3 linked regions of the Notamacropus eugenii genome follow. The main gene of each other region encodes a partner of the protein of the gene in region 2 in a complex. Links are inferred from orthologs where the notes say so. Each region holds a gene or a part of one and is shown on either strand. Other genes may lie near its edges.

Evidence for each region. Proteins that work in one complex are often made in the same cells at the same time.
Region 1: the proteins of EIF4E2 (region 2) and GIGYF2 are in contact, whole or in part, in a crystal structure (PDB 5NVM), measured with the Homo sapiens proteins. The link is inferred for Notamacropus eugenii from reciprocal best matches to the Homo sapiens genes EIF4E2 and GIGYF2. Residues at the interface, in NP_004837.1 of Homo sapiens: His54, Pro55, Leu56, Gln57, Tyr64, Arg66, Asn81, Lys83, Gln84, Ile85, Gly86, Thr87, Val91, Glu92, Phe94, Trp95, Arg96, Phe97, Ser99, His100, Met101, Val102, Leu107, Phe113, Glu149, Asn150, Leu153, Leu156, Gly157, Glu158; in NP_001096616.1 of Homo sapiens: Leu38, Ala39, Asp40, Tyr41, Arg42, Tyr43, Gly44, Arg45, Met48, Leu49, Leu51, Phe52, Leu53, Asn56, Lys57, Ile58, Pro59, Asp61, Leu62, Asp64, Glu66, Phe67, Pro69, Ile70, Leu71, Gln72.
Region 3: the proteins of EIF4E2 (region 2) and EIF4EBP1 are in contact, whole or in part, in a crystal structure (PDB 5NVN), measured with the Homo sapiens proteins. The link is inferred for Notamacropus eugenii from reciprocal best matches to the Homo sapiens genes EIF4E2 and EIF4EBP1. Residues at the interface, in NP_004837.1 of Homo sapiens: Glu53, His54, Pro55, Leu56, Gln57, Tyr58, Tyr64, Arg66, Lys83, Gln84, Ile85, Gly86, Val91, Glu92, Gln93, Trp95, Arg96, Phe97, Ser99, His100, Met101, Val102, Leu107, Phe113, Glu149, Asn150, Leu153, Gly157, Glu158, Gln159; in NP_004086.1 of Homo sapiens: Arg51, Ile52, Ile53, Tyr54, Asp55, Arg56, Phe58, Leu59, Met60, Cys62, Arg63, Ser65, Val67, Thr68, Lys69, Thr70, Pro71, Pro72, Asp74, Leu75, Pro76, Ile78, Pro79, Gly80, Val81, Thr82, Ser83.

Annotation. Positions count from the first base shown.
Region 1 is NC_092873.1:59,712,231-59,719,100, reverse strand, and holds the start of GIGYF2 (GRB10-interacting GYF protein 2), read right to left. Parts: upstream 4,126-6,870; 5' UTR 4,028-4,125; intron 3,413-4,027; 5' UTR 3,229-3,412; coding exon 3,179-3,228; intron 1-3,178. UniProt on the Homo sapiens protein: Key component of the 4EHP-GYF2 complex, a multiprotein complex that acts as a repressor of translation initiation. In the 4EHP-GYF2 complex, acts as a factor that bridges EIF4E2 to ZFP36/TTP, linking translation repression with mRNA decay.
Region 2 is NC_092873.1:57,579,905-57,586,774, reverse strand, and holds the start of EIF4E2 (eukaryotic translation initiation factor 4E type 2), read left to right. Parts: upstream 1-2,636; 5' UTR 2,637-2,847; coding exon 2,848-2,867; intron 2,868-3,136; exon of another isoform or gene 3,137-3,416; intron 3,417-5,855; coding exon 5,856-5,970; intron 5,971-6,453; coding exon 6,454-6,588; intron 6,589-6,870. UniProt on the Homo sapiens protein: Recognizes and binds the 7-methylguanosine-containing mRNA cap during an early step in the initiation. Acts as a repressor of translation initiation.
Region 3 is NC_092872.1:622,943,718-622,950,587, reverse strand, and holds the start of EIF4EBP1 (eukaryotic translation initiation factor 4E-binding protein 1), read left to right. Parts: upstream 1-2,675; 5' UTR 2,676-2,770; coding exon 2,771-2,915; intron 2,916-6,870. UniProt on the Homo sapiens protein: Repressor of translation initiation that regulates EIF4E activity by preventing its assembly into the eIF4F complex: hypophosphorylated form competes with EIF4G1/EIF4G3 and strongly binds to EIF4E, leading to repress translation.

The DNA of each region.
Region 1 (6,870 bases), about 2.1 Mb from region 2:
ACAACCAATCAACTAAACAACAACAATCAAGAGATAATAAATGCTTTTTGAATTTGGTTGAGAAATAGGAAGAAAAGAACATGGGGTGAAAGTGGCACTGGTTAATGTGAGTACAACTAAAGAAAACCTCAGGTTGCCTAAATATATCTTAAATATTTTCACTTGTAGGTTACCCTAAAGGATATCCCTCTATCCCTAAGACCCACAAAGAGACATTTATCTCTAAGGATAAGTGTGACTTACTGGAGAGGAATATCTACTGAGGTCGTTTCTATAATTCACAGAACACCCTAAAGCTATTTATTTGGTTCTGCCTGTAAATAAAAAAGAGTTACTCATTAGCAACTTTGATTTAAAGCTTGAACAACAGATTGAGTGCCTCTAGAACCAAAGTATTCAAGAGAAATGTCTGAATACCAATACCCAAAAATGTTAAATCAATCCAGATTGCTGAAGGAGAAAAAACAGGGCACTAAACTCACTTCCCAAAAATCCAGAGTAACCAACATTATTTCTCTTGTGTATTTCAACCTAACAGTAATAGTCCTATTATTAATCATACAGACACAAAAAGGAAAGCACTAAGTATCTAATCACCAAGTCAGATACTTACAATAATAAACAATGTGGAAATGACACTGATCTTTTTCAGCCAAACTCACATAGCTAAATTACTGTCAGCAGATATCTTTCAATGACAATATACAAAAACAGTCAATAATTATTTAAGAATGCAGAAAAATGGTTTATTGAAGATCAAGATGAGGGGGAAAAATCAGCATATATTGTAATAACAAGTCACACTTTTACATTTTAAAATTCAATTTATCAAGTAAAAGAGAAATCATTCTAAATCATTAATGCTCTTTTACTGGTATCTTTCATCCAAGGAGTTCTTCTATCAGCATGATGCTCAAATATTCCCATTTTTGCAAGGCTCTGAAGCAAGTGAATTGTTTTGATTTATGCAACAGAAATGAAGTGACAAAAAAGAAAAATAAATCAGTGAAATCTAATCTGTCAATAAAGTATTCATACTTCAAGGATCCTAAATTTATCATGAGGAGTGGAATACTGTATTTAACACTAACATCACAAAGATGCAGATAACCTGGAAATCAAGATGTTATTTTTAAGAAAAAATAATATCTGTATTAAAGTAAAAACAACCAGTGGACTTTAGGAAAAACTCCCAAAGACATAACTCTGGGAGTAAAACAAAGTCACAAGAGAAAGGAAGATTCTTCTGACAATGAAATTCTACACGCACCATAAAGGCAGCTAATTCAGCTGCAAGAGCCCTAAAACCTTTAAAAGGAGACTTCATAAAAACATGGTAAAAATCAATTCTTTACCAACTGAAGAAAAGCTGTATGAGCTAAAATACAGCCAACTAGAATGAACTGGTTATATTCGTTAAGTATCTAATTTTGCAAGAGAAAAAATACTTGTAGAATTACTGGTGAGTCTTCTCCCCAACACACCCCCTCAAAACATTCCTTCAGGTGTGGTTATTCTTGAAAAATATCAGTAACAGTATGGCATCAGTCTCATTAAAAGTACTTTTTATTGGAGACCAGGTAGCTTCAAAGAGTCTGTCAAACCAGTTCACACCAACTTCCTTAATGTACTACCTAAATTTAACAAGCATTCTCAGCTTTTTTTCCCCAATAAAAAATTTTGATAGTCAAACATCCACATATCTAGAATTTAACTGCCCTGCAAAAGGACACTGGAGAAAGGGGGAAGTGGGGTTTTGAGTAGAGAGAAAACAACCCCCCACTCCCAAACAAAAGAAGCTAAGTTATATGGAGAGGGTTTAAGTTTCATATTGAAAAGGAAGGGGGTGGACTAGGTGAACTCCTTAAGTGCCTTCACCCTGCCATTCTCCCCAGATAGCTTACACAATAGTCAATACACACTTGGCAACTACTGTGCTACACAATATATGAACAACTTTTCAAATTTGTACAAATACATCCATTGGCTCTCCCAAGCCCAACTCTTAAAAATAGGTAGTTATCTTAAAATTAAAAAAGAAATTATCCTGAGCCAAAATGATGTGGAACTCTTATTTCTAGTAAAACTGGTATCATTTGCTAACACAATTCTCAGAATTAAATGTGAATGGAATCGTGTCACTTTTCCAGGTACATCCCACTTTAAAATTGTTTCCTGGTGTTAGGTCTGATGAGAAACTCTTGATGCAACAGCCAAGTACATATACCAGTTTGTCCACTCTGCAAGCTGCTACAGAAACTGCTAAAAACACATAAAAATGTCAATGAGTAAGAGAAATTAGTTGTTATCTACCTAAAATTGGAAAAAACTACAGAAGTCATGATGCCCAGAAAGAATTCTAGAAACAAATGAAGATTTAAAAAAGGATTTTTTTTTTGAAAAAGCAAATAGATATCTTAAAAGGACTACTCTACAACAGAGAATAAGTTTAATAAATCTACCTTGCTCTTCTCCACATACTAAGATAAAACTGGCCATCTGCCATCTGACTTTTAAGATTGGAGTAACACATTCAAGCCTTACCTTTTTGAAAGCAAAATTGGAGGGGCTGGAACGTCCCCACCACCACCGAAAAGAAGCATTTTAAGTGTTCTGACTTTCACTACAATGCGCTAAACAATATGGAGCTCCAGGATAACTACAGAAGTTAAGCTCTTTGAAGGCAAGCGCTGCGCCTGGGCACTCCTTCACAAAGGCTGGCCCTTTTATCTCTGCATCCCAGCACTCAGTCACCGACCTGAACTGTCCACTGGATAGAAGTCGGAGCCCAAGAGCAGTGGGCGGCACTCTCTTATCTGAGGACGGCCCACCTTCCTTGGGTCTGGGACCCTCGGCCAGGACGGGTAACTCCAACAAGCCCCTCTCAGGTTTTAAATGCATGTAACAAAACGTTTAGGATCACATGGGAAACGAATTCCAGCCCTATACAGCTATCAAATCGTTTATTTAAAAAGGACCAAGCTCAGGGACCCCAGCTTCCAAACCCTCCTCCAGGGGAGGGGACAGGCTCCTGCCTTCAACTCCCAAGTCCTGTCTCGGGCTCACGTGACCTCCCCCCCAGGGCCTCAACTTGCCCATCTGTACCAATGCGGAGGCCCCCGGGGGAAACCAGACTTCGGGTGAGTCGGGGCCCTGGGTGCGAATCCCGGCGTGTTACCTGTGAGGGCCCAGAGCCGAGTTCCCGCTTAGCGGCCTTGGGCAAGTCATCAAACCTCCCTAGGACTCAGGGTCCCGCTAGGCTCCTCCTCTACCTGGGTGACCTTGGACTAGAGGCGGCCGGCGGTCCAGTGGGCAGTCGGGGAGGCCCGAGTTCAAGTCCGGCTCAGACACTCTCGAGCTGGGTGACCCTGGGCGAGTCACTCGACGCCTCTGCCTGCCTCAGTGTCCCCATCTGTAAAATGGGGGTCGTCAGTCGGGAGACTGGGAGAACGGAGCGGGACAGCAGCCGGACGGCAGGAGCCCCGGCCTCCCCCCCCGCCCGCCCCCAGCCTGACTCTGGGGGGAAGCCTCTGGGCGGGCGCCAACGAAAGCCGGGCCTCCGTTTCCCCCCGGGAAGGAGGGGGGGCCCGCCGAGGGGGCGGCCTCGCGCGGCCTCCGCCCACCAGCAGCTTGACCTTGGGCCGGTGCCGGCCCCTCGCCCGCCGGCCTCAGTTTCCCCGCCCACCCCAGTCCCCCCGGCGGCCCGGACTGCCGGGCGGGGTTCGCTTCCAGGCCCAGCCCAGCCGCGGCCTTCGACCCCGGCGCTGCCCCCTCTCCGACGGACCCGACAGGCGGGAGCAGGCAGCGCTCGGGCGGAGGCCGCCCAGGCGGCCCCGGGAGCCTGACGTGTCCCTCGGCCGCCAGCCCGAGGAGAGCCCGGGGCTGCCGGAGCGGCCTGGGCGAGGGCCCAGCGGCGGCGGGGGCGGCGGCGGCGGGACGGGCTCGGGCCTGGGCCCCGGGCTCCGGGCGGTGGCGGCGGGGTGCGCCAGGAGGGCCGCGGGCGGCGGACAGGGCGGGCGCCGGTTACCTGCGGTCCCGGACGGAGAGTCTCTCGGAATCCCAGTCAGCCCTCAGCCCCGACAACACAAGATGGCCGCCACGTCGCCGCGCGCCGGCACGTGACGTGACGCGAGCAACGCGACGCCGCACGAGGCGACGGGACGGGGGCAGTCGCTCCGCCTCCTCCCTGCTTTCGATCAGTGCCGAAGCCCGGATGTCCCGAGAGAGGCAAGGGAGGGGCGACGCAGGCGCAGTGGCGCGCCCGCCCCCGACGCGGCCATCTTGCTATTTCTATGCCCACTCTCGAGACGGATGACTCATGCTCCAGGGAGCCAATCGGGATTCAGCAAGTCATTACCGGAGCCAGGCTTTATTCTGGGGCTGAGGTGCGAGCCACTCCGGAACGGCCGTTTGACAGAGGAGGAAACTGAGGCACGGGGAGGTCGTGTTGCCCAAGGTCACTTGGGTAGTAAACTCCAGAGACAGATTCTGTATCCCTTCCCAACAACATTTCTAAGTCAAACATCGCACCCTTTAAAGCAGAGTGGAATTGTTGGCTGAAGTTACGAATGGAGAAACTGAGGCTCAGAGCGTCACATGATCAGGAACCCAGACCTCGTGTGACTCTACTGTCTAGTGCTCTTTCTATTTCCCTGCCTCTAGAGGAGCCTGGCAGCTGGGTGGCAGAGCCCTGGGCACCACTAGCTGTGTGACCCTGGCCAAGTCACTTCACCCTGTTTGCCCCAGTTTCCTCATCTGTCAAAGGACATGGCAACCATTCCAGTATCTCTGCTGAGGTCAGGAAGAGTCCCACAGGACTGAACAGAAGCCTCAAGAGGAGCCTGGGACCTCAGCGCACTAGGGTGCCAATCTAGATCCCGGTCGCCAGTTAATCTGCCAGTCAAGCACTTATTAAGCACCTACTGTAGGCAACAAGCATTTATTAATTCCCTCTCCCATGCCAGTTGCTGCGCTGGGTGCTAGGAGTATGAACATGAAAAATAAAACAGTCGTGTTCTCAAGAAACTGGGAGACACCGCCACACAGACCAAACAAATACTAGGTCATTTTGGTGGGAAAATAGCTGGGAGAATCACAAATGACTTCCTGCAGAGGTGGCCTGAGCTGAATTTGGAAGGCCAGGAGGGATTTGAAGACATACTGCCTTGAAGGGTGGCTTAATTTCATATTATTCAGGGGCAAACTGTGAACTTCCCAAGTTCTTTTTTGTTATTCACTTTGTTGCTTTTTCTTTTAAAGAGTATCAATGTTTCATTGATGCTTTTTTTTTATATCAAGTGCTTCGAGATTATTGCCCTCATCTCCCCCCACCTTTACTCCCCCCATGAGCTTTACTCTTTTATTTTTATTTTATGGCATAAAATAAGCATTTCCATAACAGTACAATAAAAAGATGATTGTATATGAAACTGTGCATCTACTGTGCATAATTTGCTGTCCCAAATATACAAGAAAATTATCACGTAAATGATTTTTCTTCCCTCCCCCTCTATGGCTACCATTAGACACAAATAAGTATATATCTGTAATATTACTTTACATATGCTTCTGTTAATCAGTTCTTTCTCTGGATGCAGCTAGCATCTTTCTTCATATGTCCTTTAGAGTTCATTTGAATATAATAGTGAAAAAAGTTGCCCAAAGTCATTCATAAAATAATATTGTTACTGTATACAATGTTCTCCTGGTTCTGTTCATTTCGCTTTTCATTATTTCATGCAAGGCTTTTCATGCTTTTGTAAAATCATTGAGTTCATCTTTTCCTATCATTTATAAAAAAGAAAAAAGTTCTGCAAAAGCAATCTGCAAGGCATATGTCTGACAGCATCTGCACCATTCTGCATCTGTAGTCCCCACTGTGGTTATGTCCAGAGTGTGTCAGTCTAAGTTGGTCCTTCCCACACGGTGCCAAGTCTATTTAAGCAACCTTTCTGACATCACTGTCATTGCCAAGCATCCAGGGCTCCTGGTTTTGCATGCAAGTCTTTTCTTGGGTTTCCCCAAGTTCTTTACCTTTGTAGTTCCTCCTTTCTCATGGTACAGATACTATTCATGCCTATGAGCAGCATGGTGCCTAAGCTTGGGAATCCCTGAGTTCAAACCCTGCATCTCACCACAAGCACTGACTTAGCCTCAGAGTCCTCCCACACCAAGGGTCAGGCTGCATTGGGAGCTGGGACTCCTCACCACAAGTTACTTAGACCAGTGAAGTCCAGTTCTCTCTCCCACCTAAAAAACAAAAGCAAACACAAAGGAAAAACAATAACTCCTGTTCGTCCAATCCATTTAGATTTCCAGAGCACTTTTCTCCCTCCTAGAAACCCTATGCCAAAAGCTGTTTGATGAAGAGAATGAAGCAGGGAAGAGGTAAAGTAGAAACTCCCATCTAGTCAGCAACCTGTTGTTAATATTTGTGGTAAAGCATCATTGACATTCCTGGTAACCTCTCCCTAAAAAATAAACCAGACCTTCCACAGCTCCCTATTGCCTAGCAAATTAAATTCAAACAACTCACAGAATTATAGGATTTAGAACTTTAAAACATCTTACAGATCATTTAGTCCAACCCCCTTATCTTGCAGGCAAGGAAGCAGGCCTGGAAAAGTTGAGTGACTGATCCAAAATCACATATTTAGTAAGTAACCTAGGCAAGATTTGAATCCAGGACCTTTGGTTCCAAGTCTTGCCCTATCTCTACCACACCTTTTCATTTCACACATATATAAAACTGAATGCCCAATAAAAACCAATAATCTGATAAGCATTCAAAATAAAACTGGTGATTTGTATGGTATAAAAACCTAAGTTTTTGGTTTTGGTTTTGACAAGATGGAGCCAAATGAATTAACA
Region 2 (6,870 bases):
GCTCAGCTGGCTCTCACTTCTGTCTTCAGCTGGCCATCTCTTACCTCGCTTTCACTTTATTCTACTTTTCTGCGGCTGAAAATGCCAGCCTCCATGCAGGGTCGCCTTATAAGCAACAATCCATCTCTAATATGATTTTAATCTCAAAAATTCTAACTTTTTGTCAGGTTATGATTCCGCAATCCTTATATGATTTTCCCATGGTACCCTGACTAGTTATTTAATTTATAATTTCTCAGTTATAATCTCTTAAAAGTCTAAAAACAGTCACATGCAAATGAGCCAATGGACCACAATGCCCTGTAGTCATCAGTACCTCAGTTAGTGCTGTGCCTAAATACATGTTAACTATCATTATGTTGATGGTTATAGTATCTTTATTATTATAGCTATTTTGAAAGCCCTGGTTTGTTTGTTTTTAAGCCAAAAGTATGGTGCAAAGAGAGTGAGCCTTGTTTCCAAGGGTCACAGCTGGAAGCAGAGAGAAACGTCTGATTTTCAACAGGTTCATTTATCCTTCCAGTTTCATAGACTCTCATCCTAGGTGTCATCCTCATTTTCTCACATCCCACAACCAATCTGTTGCCAGATCTGTCAATATCACCTTTGCAATATCTCTCTAATATACTCCCTTCTCTCCTCTGATACTGTCAGAAATCTGGTGCAATATCTTCTCACTCATGTCTTCTGGCTGATCACTAAAAGTGAACACACCTGTGGGGGCCCCAGCTACAATTTTAAGTAAATGCAAATCCATAGGCTTAACAGCTCTGTGAGTTGGGATTGAGCCCAGATATTACAGAATAAATTTGAAAGTGGAAGGAACCTTAAAAGTTATGTATTACCATTCCATCATTTCAAAGATGAGAAAACCGAGGCTCAGAAAAGTTGAGGGACTTGCCCAAAGTCACAGAGGCAGGGAGTCTAACCCAGGTCCTTTGACTCTGAATCTGAAATTTTCCACACTCACTGCCTTTCTTCAGTATCTGGCTCATGGTCTCAAGCCCAACTCCTGCTGACATACTCAAGGACTCCAATGTGTGTGTTGTTTCCCCTCAGACACCCTGGCCTCCTCCTTCTAAGGGGTGCTCATACTTTTGATCTTACTGTCATCCAGAACTGGTTTACCTTCGTGATCTAGAACTCAGAAGTTCCTTTCTCTGACCACAACTTCCACGTATCCATGTGACTCATTCCTCTTTACTCCATCTGGCCTCATGCTTCTCCTCTGAAGTCTTCAGACTAGAATTAAACAGCTCAGCTATCACCTGACCTCTACATGGAATTTCCTTGTCCCTTTCTCCTACCAGTACCATTCATTTTCTCTGTTCCTTGTGGCCAACGGAGGAGGTCATCCAACCTTGCCTTACTGGGTCCATTACAGATTTATGTGACCTGATCTCAACTGGGCCCTGAGACAATCTTTTTATTTTGATCTGTTGCTTTTCTCAAAACTTCCCTTTTTTTTCTCAAGTCTTATAAATCTCTCCTTGTCCAAACTTGGTCATCAAAAGACTTGGCCTCCTACTTAGGTATTCACAATAACCCTAACTGTGTCCTACCCTCTCCCCAAACCCTTGCTCTAAGCATCCCTTATCTCCTCCTCCTTCCCTTTGGATTCTGAGGACCATGTGTCTGTCTCCTAGGCAAAGCCAAACTTTACCCTTGTGTACTGGATCCCATCCCCATCATACTCCTTCAGAAGCAGAACCTGTCCTTGCTGTTTTCAGTTTCCTATCCGAAGACCCCAAGCCTAAACTCTTGACCTTCCCTTAGCATCCCCTCAAGCCAATGCCCCACATTTCTTTTCTCTTTCACAATTAAACTGCTAGAAAAGACTGGAAGGTATCGCAAGGTGAAAGATCATAGATTTTAGAGCTGGAAGGGACTGTAGACACCACAATCATTGATCGATAAGTATTTATTAAGTACCTACTGTATACCCTGCTCTGTATAAGCACCAGGTAGATGAAAAGAGGCAGATGGTCCCTGCCCTCCAGGAGCTCCCAATCTAAAGGTGGAGACACATATAAGCAAATGTATATAAAGGAACACATGGGATAAATAGGAGGTGATGGGGGCGGGCCAAAAGGAGGCCGGGGAGGTCAGTGGTCAGAGCAGAGGGGCGTGTTGCAGGCCTGGGGGATGGCCAGAGAGATGCCCAGAGCCCAGAGGGAGGGTCCGGGGGCAGCTGCAAGGGTGGGGGGGCTTGGAAGCCAAACAAAGCCCCCGTATTGGATGCTGGAGACGAAGGGGGCGCCTGGGCTTTGCCGAGGAGGGGGTGGCATGTGCAGAGCCGAGCTTTGGGGAAGTGACTGCCCCCCAGCCTCAGTTTCCCCCTCTGTGAAATGGAGGGGTTGGATTGGAGGGGTCTCAAGCCCCTCTCCTGGGGCCTCCGTTTCCCCGTCTGTAAGCTGAGGGGGTTGGACCCGCGACCTCTTGCCCCTTGTCTTCCCTGGCCTCAGTTTCCTCTTCTGTAAGGAGGAGAGCGGACTGAACGGCGCCCGGCCCCCCCACCTCCTTCTCCACGCCCCGCGTAGGGGCGGGAATGTCGTCAGCTCTGCCCCGCCCCCTTTCGCTCCGCCCTCAGCCGTGGTCAGGAGGAGGAGCCGGCTCGCCCCCGCCCAGCCCAGCACTGCGCAGGCGCCTCGCTCGGTCCTGCCCCCAGCCCCAACCCCGCCTTCCCGAAGAGGCGCTCGCTCCGCTCCCCCCCCACCTCGGCCGGGGGCTCGCGCGCTGTGCTTCCGGCTGTACGCAGCGCCACCGGAAGTATCCGGGGGGACCGAGGCCGAGGGACTCGGCGGAGCGGAAGTCAGCGAGTGAGACGACGGCGGCGGCGGTGAGAGGATGAACAACAAGTTCGACGCGTGAGTGGCGTGGCGCGCGGCCCTAACCGCCGCCCCGGGCCCGGGCCCGGCCTGAGCCTGAGCCCGCCCCCGCCGGGGCCCGCCCGGGACCGAGGCCGGGGCCGGGGACCCCCGGGCGGGGGAAGGGAGGCCCCGGGCTGGGGCGGGAGGCGGGAGGGGGGGCAGAGCCGGGGCGCCCACCCCGTCGCTCCCCCGCGTCGGCGCGCATGACTTAGCGCTGGGGGTGCCTGGCGGGGCGGTCGTGCGGTGCAGCGGCGAGGGCGCTGGGTGTGGAGCCCAAGGACCTGGGTTCGAATCCTGACCCTGCCACGACCCTCTGTGACCTTGCGCAAGTCCCTTCTCTGGGCCTCAGTTTACCTTTTCTTACTTAGTCGCGGGGTGGAAGCTGTCCGAGGGCAGCCCCCAAGGCCCCCAGCGCGCCCTCCGCGTGCCAGACAGGTGGGGTGCATCCCGTACACAGTAGGCGCCTACTGTTTGGGGGCCGGGCCCCTGCCCTCCGGGAACTTCCATTCTGCGGGGCCTGGGGCTTTTCCAGCCAGTGTTGAAGAGGTAAAAGCCAGACGGAAAGCTGGGCGATGGGGGGGGGGCCAGGAAGTGTCCTGCAACCACGTGCGGCTCCCCTGTCTTGGAGGGGGCGGGAGTCCGGGACCAGGCCCTGGCACCTTGGGTGACCTTGGCCAAGTCACTGTGCAGGAGGGGCAGGAAGGGCTTGGAGAAGGGGCGAGGACCGGCTCCCGCCTGAGCTGGGCCAGGCTCTCTTTCTGCTGGGTTGGACTCGTGGGGTCCTTTGCCTCCCCAGGCCCGTGGTCTTGTGAGCCCTACAGGAGTTCTCACAGGAGGGGAAGTGACTGGCCCAGAGTCACCCAGCTAGGAAGTAACAGAGCCAAGATAGAAGTCCTGGAAGGGGCCCCAGGCCTCAGGGCTAGCCCCCTCCTTTTACAGATGGGAAAACTGAGACTCAGAGAGGGAAAAGGACTTGGTGAAGACATTGATGAGACCCAAACTCAGATCTCCTGACTAGTACCCTAGCTTCCTTCTTTCCAGGCACAGAAAACACTCCTTGAGAAATTTGTCAAAGTCCACTTCCTTATATCTTCTGTTACTGTTAAGCAGTGCATGTCTCACAAGTAACTGGGTTGCCGAGAGGAAATGTACTTCCAAGGCCTCCACCCTTCTCCCACCGTTCTGTCCTCAGATAGGTTTCTCCTTCACTTTCTTGGAATAATACAGAGCTTTGTTGTAAGATTAGGACACGGTACGGTCGATTCGTAGACGTGTGTGAAGAGAAACTCCAATTTCATGTTGCTAAAGCGGACTTGTTCAGTTACAGGATAAGAGTATTTCTGCTCAGAATCAGGGTTCCTGCATTTTAAGTGTTTGAGGTGGTCCTAGAAGCTGCAATGTATTGTTAACATCACTGGAATCCATGTCCCACGATGGTAGAATTGGCAGCTGAGGACCAGATTTAATAAGATGAAAGAGAAATATAAAGTCTTACATTTGTCTTAAAAAAAAAATCACCCGTACAAGTCCAGAATGGGAGAGGCTCAGTGAACACCCCAATGTCCCAGGCTAAGGAGGCCATGGCTGTCCTCTGCCCTGATCACAGGGCGTCTAAGGGGTGGGTTCAGTCCTGTGCACTGCATCTGGGGAAAGAAACTGGCCAGCTAGAGTGTGTACCCAAGGTGGGGGAGGGGAAGGGCTAGGGGACAGGGGAAAGGGTAGACAAGGAGACTCTGATCACAAGGGGAATGGAAACTGGGTTTTCTAGGGGTTGATTCCAGGGACTGAGAATGTTAAACCCAGAGAAGAGAAGGCAACTGGGAAGGCTTTGGCCAGCTGGCAGGTGGGAGAGGCTTTGTTTTCCTTGGGGTAGGGGTAGAATTAGGAGGATGGAGTAGACCCTGCAGAGGCAGAGTGGAGAGAGTGTCCTCATAGGATGTGGAGGTTTCCCATAAAGACTGAGTACCTCACTGTCACAGATGTTGCTCAACTGAAGGTAGAACCGTGTAGTCAGGCCTCAGCTTCTGTGGTTCCTCAGGAAGGTTTCCTGAGTCAAGTTTTCTTTCATTAGGAAAAGCGTTTGCCCAGTATCTGTGTTTGCTCTCATCTCTGTTTTATCTGTCCAATGCTATGGAGCCCTTCCTGTAGCTCCTGTGTCCTGTTATAGCGCTTACTGTCTGCAGCATTCATCTGGTGCTTTGTCTAGTCACTTGTCACGTCATGTCAGTGGGTCAGCAAGCATTTAGTAAGACAACACAAGAATTACTAGCCATGGATGAGATGTATTTAGAATAATCGGAAGCTGATCTCTTAAGAGAAAGCAGAAGGAGCAAGGAGGGCTCATTGCCCTCTCATCCCCCACTCCTTCCAAGTAGCAAATGCTCAGTGAAGGTTGGTTGATGGTGGGTTCTTATTCAGGGGAGCTGGAACCTGAATTAATCACCTTTTTCTATAATAAATTCATGCATTTAATGCCTCTAACCTAGGGTATAGTTTGAGCATTTCTAGTCTTAGTTGCATTAACCACATACCTCCCTTGAGCTACAGGGCAACAGCCAACAGTGATTTCAGAGCTCCCACTTTGTTGTTGATTTAGAGTACCTTTTGTGCCGAGTCCATTCTCCTTGAGTTAGTCCTTCCTGTCTTTCTCCAGTCCTAGAATTAGTGCCCGATCCTTATGCGTTGAATTGGGAAGGGGGCACCCAGAGGGTTTAGCAGGGCCAGGCTGGAGCCCTGGCATTCTGGGATGATGCACTTTTGATGCCTGTGGTTTGTTCGGGGTCTTCATGTGCGGACATAGGCTTTCTGCTTGGGAGCTGCCAGGAGTCCTTTCCTTGTTTTAACTTTGGTCATCTTCCACACCCACGCTGAATTTAGGGGGTTTCTCTTTATTCAAGACAGTGAATCTTAGAATCTCCTGGTTCTTTTGGATGAAGAAGAGATAGTTCAGCCATAGGAGGAACATTGTTTTGTTTTTTCTTTCAGCTTGAAGGATGATGACAGTGGGGACCATGACCAGAATGAAGAAAACAGCACACAGAAAGACGGTGAGAAGGAAAAAAGTGAGCGAGACAAAAGTCAGAGCAGCAACAAGAGGAAGGTGTGTTTGGAGCTATGTTCTCAGATGCGTTCATCAGCAGGTTTAAATCTTGGGAAGCTGGTGAGATCTGCTTATTCCAAGAGTTCCAGGGCATCTCACAGATCCTCTTTTTTTCTGAAAACATCATCCCCTTACTCAGAGATTTTTTGGTCTTCAAGGCTTTTCCCCCTGCTTTGAATACCCATCATGCTGGATTGAGAGAATTTTGTCTTGAGAAAGGGGATTTTCCGGAATTTCTCTTATAACTTGGAACATTTCTCTTATCATAGGTCCTTGAAGTGGTGTACATTCTCCTGTATATCTAGGATTTATGACTGGAACTGCCAGAAACAGAGTTAATTATCCTTACTTAATTTAGGGGCTAAATGGACCTTTTATTTGGGGGTAGGGGAGGATTAGGAGTGCTGAGGAAGGCCACTAAAAAGCCTCTCTTTCTGGAAGGAGTGAGTTGCCATGGGCTAAGTGGATTGCTTTGTTCCACAGGCTGTTGTCCCTGGGCCCTCAGAACACCCACTGCAGTACAACTACACTTTCTGGTACTCCCGGAGGACACCAGGCCGGCCAACCAGCTCACAGAGCTATGAGCAGAACATTAAGCAGATCGGCACATTTGCCTCTGTGAGTCTTCTCTTGTTGCAATGATTAGAAGTAGTTCGTTGTCTGTCTTAGAGTATCATGTTTATACCTACGTATTCATGCATGCCTTGACCAGCCCTTTATCTGCCTTGGCAAACTGGCATTCAGTTTGCTTGTAGAACCTGATACCTGGGATTTGACTTCTGTGTTTGCACTTAGACATCAACTAAATGGTTTGCAGGAGACCTTGGATAAATGAGAAATTCCATATACTTTTAAAACATTGATTCATTTAGACCTGGAAAGTCTTGGCTGTGGATTTAG
Region 3 (6,870 bases), on a different chromosome or scaffold from region 2:
GGATTGTTGTAAAGAAACGAATGAGTTATATCTATGTGTAACACAAGCCCTGCATTCACTACTCCAACCTCCCATTTGTACTGGGAGGGTGAGGCTGTGAAAGTCATCTAGCTACTTCTCCTTAGGGTTCTTAGGTATAACCCTTGGGAGTTGGGGGTTTTCCAATACTTTGGTTCACAGGCCCCCACCAGCACGCCCCAATAATGATTATCAACTGATATAAATTAGCCAGTCAGGCTTCATTAGCTTTCAGAGATGGGACTTGTCTGGGACTGCTTCCCACACTAAGCTGACCTAACACTGGAATGCCCACTTTCAAACTAGCTCAATATTTCTATCTAACCCACAGGATGTGACAGATACTTCCTATACACCCCAATATACTTCCTATGTAGCACCACTTCATTTCATGCAATAACTAGAAACATTTTGTTTCTTGCAAATTAACTAAAGACTTTTCTCACCCAATTGAATGCCTTAGATTCAACAGATGTATTCTTACTAATAAATATCAAGGTAGATCACATCATATTAGTTATTGTGGAGTAGGCAGACTGATTGATTCAACAAATTGCCCTCCTTAAAGTAAGACACTTTGTCAAATATTAAATGTCATAGATGTAAGGTCCATTTATTATTTACTCATTGGAAAACAAACTCTGGTGCAGACTGAGAGTGGTACTTGAAGCCAGGTTTTTCTAACTTCAAGGCTTAGTATGCTGCCTTTCTAATACTCTGCCTTGGTCAGATGAAATCTGAGTATTAAGCTCAGTTCTGATAACACAGTTGAGAAAGAATATTAACCTGCTGGAGAACAATCGGAGAAAGACACCTATCATATTATTAAGAAGGTATCAGGCATATTTATCCTAGAAAGGAAAGCTGTTATGGAGTATGTGTAGGGATAGCATTTGGAAGACGGATTAAATTTGCCTTTCTTAGTCCTAGCAGCAGAACAACGTCTAATAGGTAGAAGTCTCAGAGAGGAAGACTGAGGTGTGATATCAATCTAACAGTTAAAACCACAGTTGGACCCAAGAGTCTGGAGAACTGCTCTCTCTCCTCTCCATCAAGGGGCCCCGGCTCTTCTGGATCGAAACCCTGGGTTCAGTTCTGGTGAAGCATGACATTTAAAAGAAAGGTCAGTTTTATTTTTAGTTCTTTTTGGTTCCTTCTTGTCTTAGCACTCTGAGAAGAATTCTTAAAGGTCTGGGTTTGACTCATGTCTAAGATATTCCCAAAGAGGAGAACAGACAAGTATTCAATGTATACTGGAACAAATAAGCTAATCAGCAATTGAAAAGCTTTTTATTTCTTACACACACACAGACACACAGACACAGTTCTAAACACAAAAATATTCTCACTAGCACCCACTGACAGAGATTCAAAACAGGACCTAGTAACTTATATCTACTCCTACGTTCTCCTAGAAGGCTGGGAGCTAAAACTCCCCAAATTAAGCATTTGGTGGGATTGATGAAGGTGCATTTTCAGTTTCTCCTCAGCTCTACACAATCCAAACCATTTCTTCAAGGTTCATGCCCTCTGATAAGACCAGCCGGGGCTTCAGCCCTTCTGCTCCCTCCTACCCTCTCCAAGGCAGAAACTTCCAGCATCCCAGCTAGCTAAGGAGAAACGAGGTGCTGCAGTCAAGAGAAGGGCGGACTTAGTCAGGAAGGCGCGAGTTCAAATTCTGCCTGAGACTCTGGCTGCGTGACCCTGGGCGAGTCACTTAACTTCTTAGCCTCAGCTTCCTCGTCTGTAAAACGGGATGGGGGTGACAGCAATAAGCAGCATTTTGCAGTCTGTAGAACCCTGGAAAAGGGATTTGCAGATCTCTCATTTGGTATTTGGGGCTATTATTATCCCCACTGCACAGAAGAGGAAACTGAGTAAGAAATTAATAGCATTGCTAATGTCAGAATCACAGAATCTGGAGCTGGAAGAGATCTCAGACACCATCTCCTGAACCCATACCCAAACAAGCTTCCACTTGTCTGTACGTTCTCTGTTACTGGAATGTGCACTGACAGGAGTGACACTCGCAACACCATCCACGAACCAACCCCTTCACCCACTTTTTTTAACCATGCGGGTTGTAAACAAGGCCGACCAATCAGAGAGCAGGAGGGTGGTGTACTCGCCCACAGCCTTCTGGGAGATGTAGTCCACGGAGATTTTTCAGCACCACCCCATGAGCGAGGGTCTCCTGGCCCAAAGCATTGTGGGAAATGCAGTCCTCAGAATGCTGCTCTAAAGCGTTTGCTCTGGACCCGCGTCTGCCCTGGGGAGCTTAGCACTGGAGGCTATTAACACGCGCTTTCAAAAGCAGGAAATTGGAGAGGGGAGAAGCGTTCTTCCCACCCCCGCCGGGGGCCCCCTGTAGGGTCCGGGGGGAGCCTGGGCCAGTAGTTGCCGCGCGGCGGGCTCCCACCCAGAGCTCGATCCCCCCCCCTCCCCGGAGCTGCGGGGGCGCGCGGAGCCCACGTCGGGGAAGCTTCAGGCTGGCAGTCCCCCTCCCTGCCGCCACGGTCCCCACGGTGTGGCTGCCGCCCCGAGGCGCGGCGCGGGGATCCCAGGGGCCGCCACCTCCCTGGACAGCCGGGGCATCCAGGGCTTCGGGATGGGGGCGGGGGGTGAGGACTACAAGTCCCGAGGGGCTGCCAAGCTGCGGCGGCGGAAGGGGCGGTCTGGGGGCGGAACGGGGCGTGGGCGCGAAGCGGGGACCGCTGCCCCCGGGGTCCGCGGCTGCAGCCAGGCCGAGGCCATGTCTGCGGGCGGGAGCTGTGGCCAGACGCCGAGCCGGGCCATCCCGGCCACCCGTCGGGTGGTGCTGAGCGACGGCGCGCCGCTGCCGCCCGGGGATTACAGCACCACCCCGGGAGGCACGCTCTTCAGCACCACCCCCGGAGGTACGGTGGGGGGCGCGCCGGGCTGGGGGTACGCGGAGGGCACACCGGGGCGGGGGGCACAGCGGGAGGGGGGGAGCCGAGGCGGGCCAGGACTGGGATGGCGGGGAGGACCCGGAGAGGGGCCGAGTGGAAGGCCGGCCTGACGGCACGTGGAGAGCCCTGGATGCTCGGGCGCTCGCCTTTGGAGGAGGGGGCGCCTTCCGCGAGACCTCTGCCCCCGCTTTACCTCCCCCGCCGCACGGTCTCCGCGTCCCGGCCCCCGGCGGACCGAAGAGACAAAGAACTCTTCCCCAGCTCGAGTCCTGGCGCCGTTCTGGCCCCTCGCCCGTCCCGGGGTAGTGGCACGCCGGGGCGATGTCCGCGCGGGCACCCCTAGGAGGACAGCCCGGAGCCGGGCACTGCCAATCCTTCCTTCACCCGAAATCGCTCCCCCGGGGCGCTTTAGGGGTGGGCTTTAAAAAGCGGCAGGCTCGGTTGGAGGGGAGGCGAGGAAAGAGGAAGGTCCGGGAGGCGCCCGAGGGGAGCGTCCGTTTGACTTGCCAGTAACAGTCCGGAGTGGCCTAGAAGGAAGTTGAGCCTGGCACACGGTCGGGAAGGAGGGGGTGGGGGCAGCTTCGGGTTCCTCCGGTCCACGCAGCGTTCCCACGCAGCCCCAGGGAGTCGTGTCCGGAGGAGCTGATGAAACCCGCGCTCCAGTTTGCATAATTCCCCCCCCCTCCGATCTCCTGCCCCCGTCTCCTTTTGCCCCTTGCCAGGCTTTCGCCTCTCTCTCCAATCAGTACCCCGGGGAAGAAACAAAAAGCCAGAACCCCAGCAATTTCTCCGCTTCGAGTCGGGGCAAAAGGTCCCATTTCTGATTCCCGGCCCCAGACTGGAGGAAGGACTGAGGAAGGTCAGGGCTTGTGAATGCTGGCCTGCCCCTTCGGGGGCCACATGCTTATTTTCTCAGGCAGAGACTTGCAGCTGCCAGTCCCTTCCACGTTAGCGTTCAGCCCAAGTTGGGCACCCAGTAAGGCCCGAGCCCGAACACGGAATCCTGAGATGTTAGAACGGGGAAGAAATCTTGGAGATGATGTGTATCCGACTTCTTTATTTTTACAAGTTTGAGAACTGAGACCCTGGGTTAAAAGTGAGTTCCTATGGTCAGATGAAAAATCCCTTTGTTCTATCCAGATTTCATGAAAAGAATGCCATCATATAGCGTTTTAGCACTTAACAAAGTATTTCTCTTACCACCACATTCTGAGGTTAGTAGATTGTTACCTCTCCTTTAACAGATAAGAAACCTGAAGCTCCGAGTCTCAGACCATATTGGCCTTTAGGTCACTTCCAACTGAAATTCATTAACACTAGACTGAACCCCCTTGCCTTCCAGTTCCAAGACCAGCGCTCATTCCTTTCCACCTGGGGACTGAAGACACACTAGACAAATTTTCTTTCCTTCCACTTAGTTTTGGAAAAGCTGTTCCCTTTGCCACACATCTCAGTGACTTGTATTGACCCTCTTTTTTGAAGAACTTTTATTTTGTTTCCTCATTTTTAAGATGACGGTGTTGGATTAGCTGTTCTTTCCAGCCTTTCAGCTTTTTTTCTGTGTGTCATCTTTCCTTATTAAAATCTAAGCCCCTTGAAGCAGAGATGTGTCCTTGGTTTTGCTTGTATTTGTATCTCAAAACTCAATACAGTGCCTAAGTAAGCACCTAATAAATGGTTGTTTCCTACCTTCCCTCAGTCCATGACCCCATGTGATTGACTGTAGGGACATCCCTGAGACTTTTGAATTCAGCTCCTTTGGATGTGACTACCTATGGGGGACCGGGCATTGGCCTTTGCTTGGATGAAGCCAACTGCCCTGAGATTTAATGAGAAACATCAGCCTGTTAAAAGGGATTTTATGCCAGATGGTGTGTCGCATGCATACCTGTAATCCCTGCGCTTCATGAGCTCCAGTGGATTAAGCTATTTTGTCATCCCTATGACCCTACCCCCACCCTCCCAAGGCTTCACAGAAAAACATCCCCAGTTCTTTCAGTTGGTCTTTCTAGGACATGGACTTAAGATTCTTTACTGTTTTAGTTCAGTTAGCTAGATGGTATAGTAGATAGAGTGCCAGGCCTGGAGAGAGGAATATTCATCTTCCTGAGTTTAAATCTGGCATCAGACATTTATTAACTGTGTGACCCTGGGTAAGTCACTTAACCCTGTTTGCCTCTATTTCCTCATTGGTAAAATGAACTAGAGAAGAAACGACAAACCACTCAAGTATCTTTGCCAGGAGAACCCCAAATGGGGTCACAAAGAGTCATGACTGATTAACTAAACAAGAACAACAAAGCCAGTCATGTCTGAATAAGGTCAGGCACCGATGTGGTGAGCTCCTCTGAATGGATCGGCAGAGTTGTTGGGGGATGTGGGGGGGTGCGGCTTCATGAGAAGAGGCACAACAGTCCATGTGAGAAATACTGGTCCAGGTCTAACCGGGTTGACCTTCACTTGTAGCCTAGGAGAAAATGGGAGATCAGCTGTTACTTCCTCTTCCTGCGTTCCTTTGGACAGTGAAGAAATTCATGCATGGGGCCCCCCAGTTAGCTTCTTCCTCCCTTAGGTTGACAAACATTTGTTAAGTACTGGACACTGGGGAGTAGGAGAAAGGCCGAAACTGCCCTGCCCTCAGGGAACTTAAATTCTAAATGCTCTAAGATATTGAGGAACTGGGGGGGTACCAATGGCTGGAGAGAGAAGGGAAACCCAAGCTGAGTCTTGAAGGAAGCCAGGGAGACAGAGGTGGGGAGCACTTCAGGCGTGGGGGACAACCCATACAAAGGCCTGGGGATGGAGGGTCTTTGTGAGAGAGCCACATATCAGCCCCGGATGGTGGATCATAGAGTTCTAAGAAGTGAGTGAAGCCTGGAAAAGTAGGAAGAGGCCACTTTATGAAGAGCTTTAAATGCAAATACCAAAGGTATTAAGAGGCCGACCTCCAATCTGGAAGTCTTGAATTCAAAGCCTGCTTCAGCACTTATTAACTTTGTGCCCCAGGGCCAGTCACTTAACCTCTCTCAGCCTCAGTTTTCCGATCAGTAAAATTGGGATTTTTATAAAATGGGTAGGGCAGCTGAGTAGCAAAGTGGCTAGCTGGGGCCTAAAGTCAGGAAGACTCATCTTCCTGATTTCAAATCTGGTCTCAGGCATTTACTAGCTGTATGACTATATGCAAGTCATGTAACCCTGTTTGCCTCAGTTTCCTTAAGTGTCAGATAAGCTGGAGAAGGAAATGGCAGTATCTTTGACAAGAAAACCCCAAATGTCAGGAAGAATTGGACACAACTGAACAACCACAATGGGGATTATTACGGTCCTTACTTTATAGGGGTTTTGATGAGGAGCAAATGAGTTAGCATATGTACAGTGGGTTACAAACCTTAAAGCCCTTTGTAAATGCTAGTTTCCAGAGGACTTTATATTTTATCCTGACAATCTGCAGTTGTCGTAGGGAAGGGGCTGCTTTATTGGATCATGAGTTCTCCCTCCAGAGCAACAGAGGAAGGGAAAGAAAACGAGGACTCCCAGAAGGCAGTGTCCATTTGCTCAGTGCCTTCCCATAGGCAGTCCCCTTCCCCCCAACCCCAGGCAAGTCAGACCGGGTTTTCACCTGCCAAAATCAATAGATCTGACATAAATAGCAAATCTATCCACTACTCGCCTTACTTCCCTCATCCCCACCCACTTTCCTTTCCCCTAAAATATTCATCCCTCATCCCCAGGGCCCTTTTTTAGCTTTAATGAAGTTTGACGGAATTAAGAGCAAGTTACACGTGTGAACAGTGTTTCTGTTCTGGGAAATTTTCATTTCATTTGCTTTTTATGGGGGGGGGGGGTTGCAGAAGGATTTGGAGCTGAACTCCAACTCCCTCTTTTTTTGCTGTTAAGAAAAACCAAGACCCACCTTCCCCAT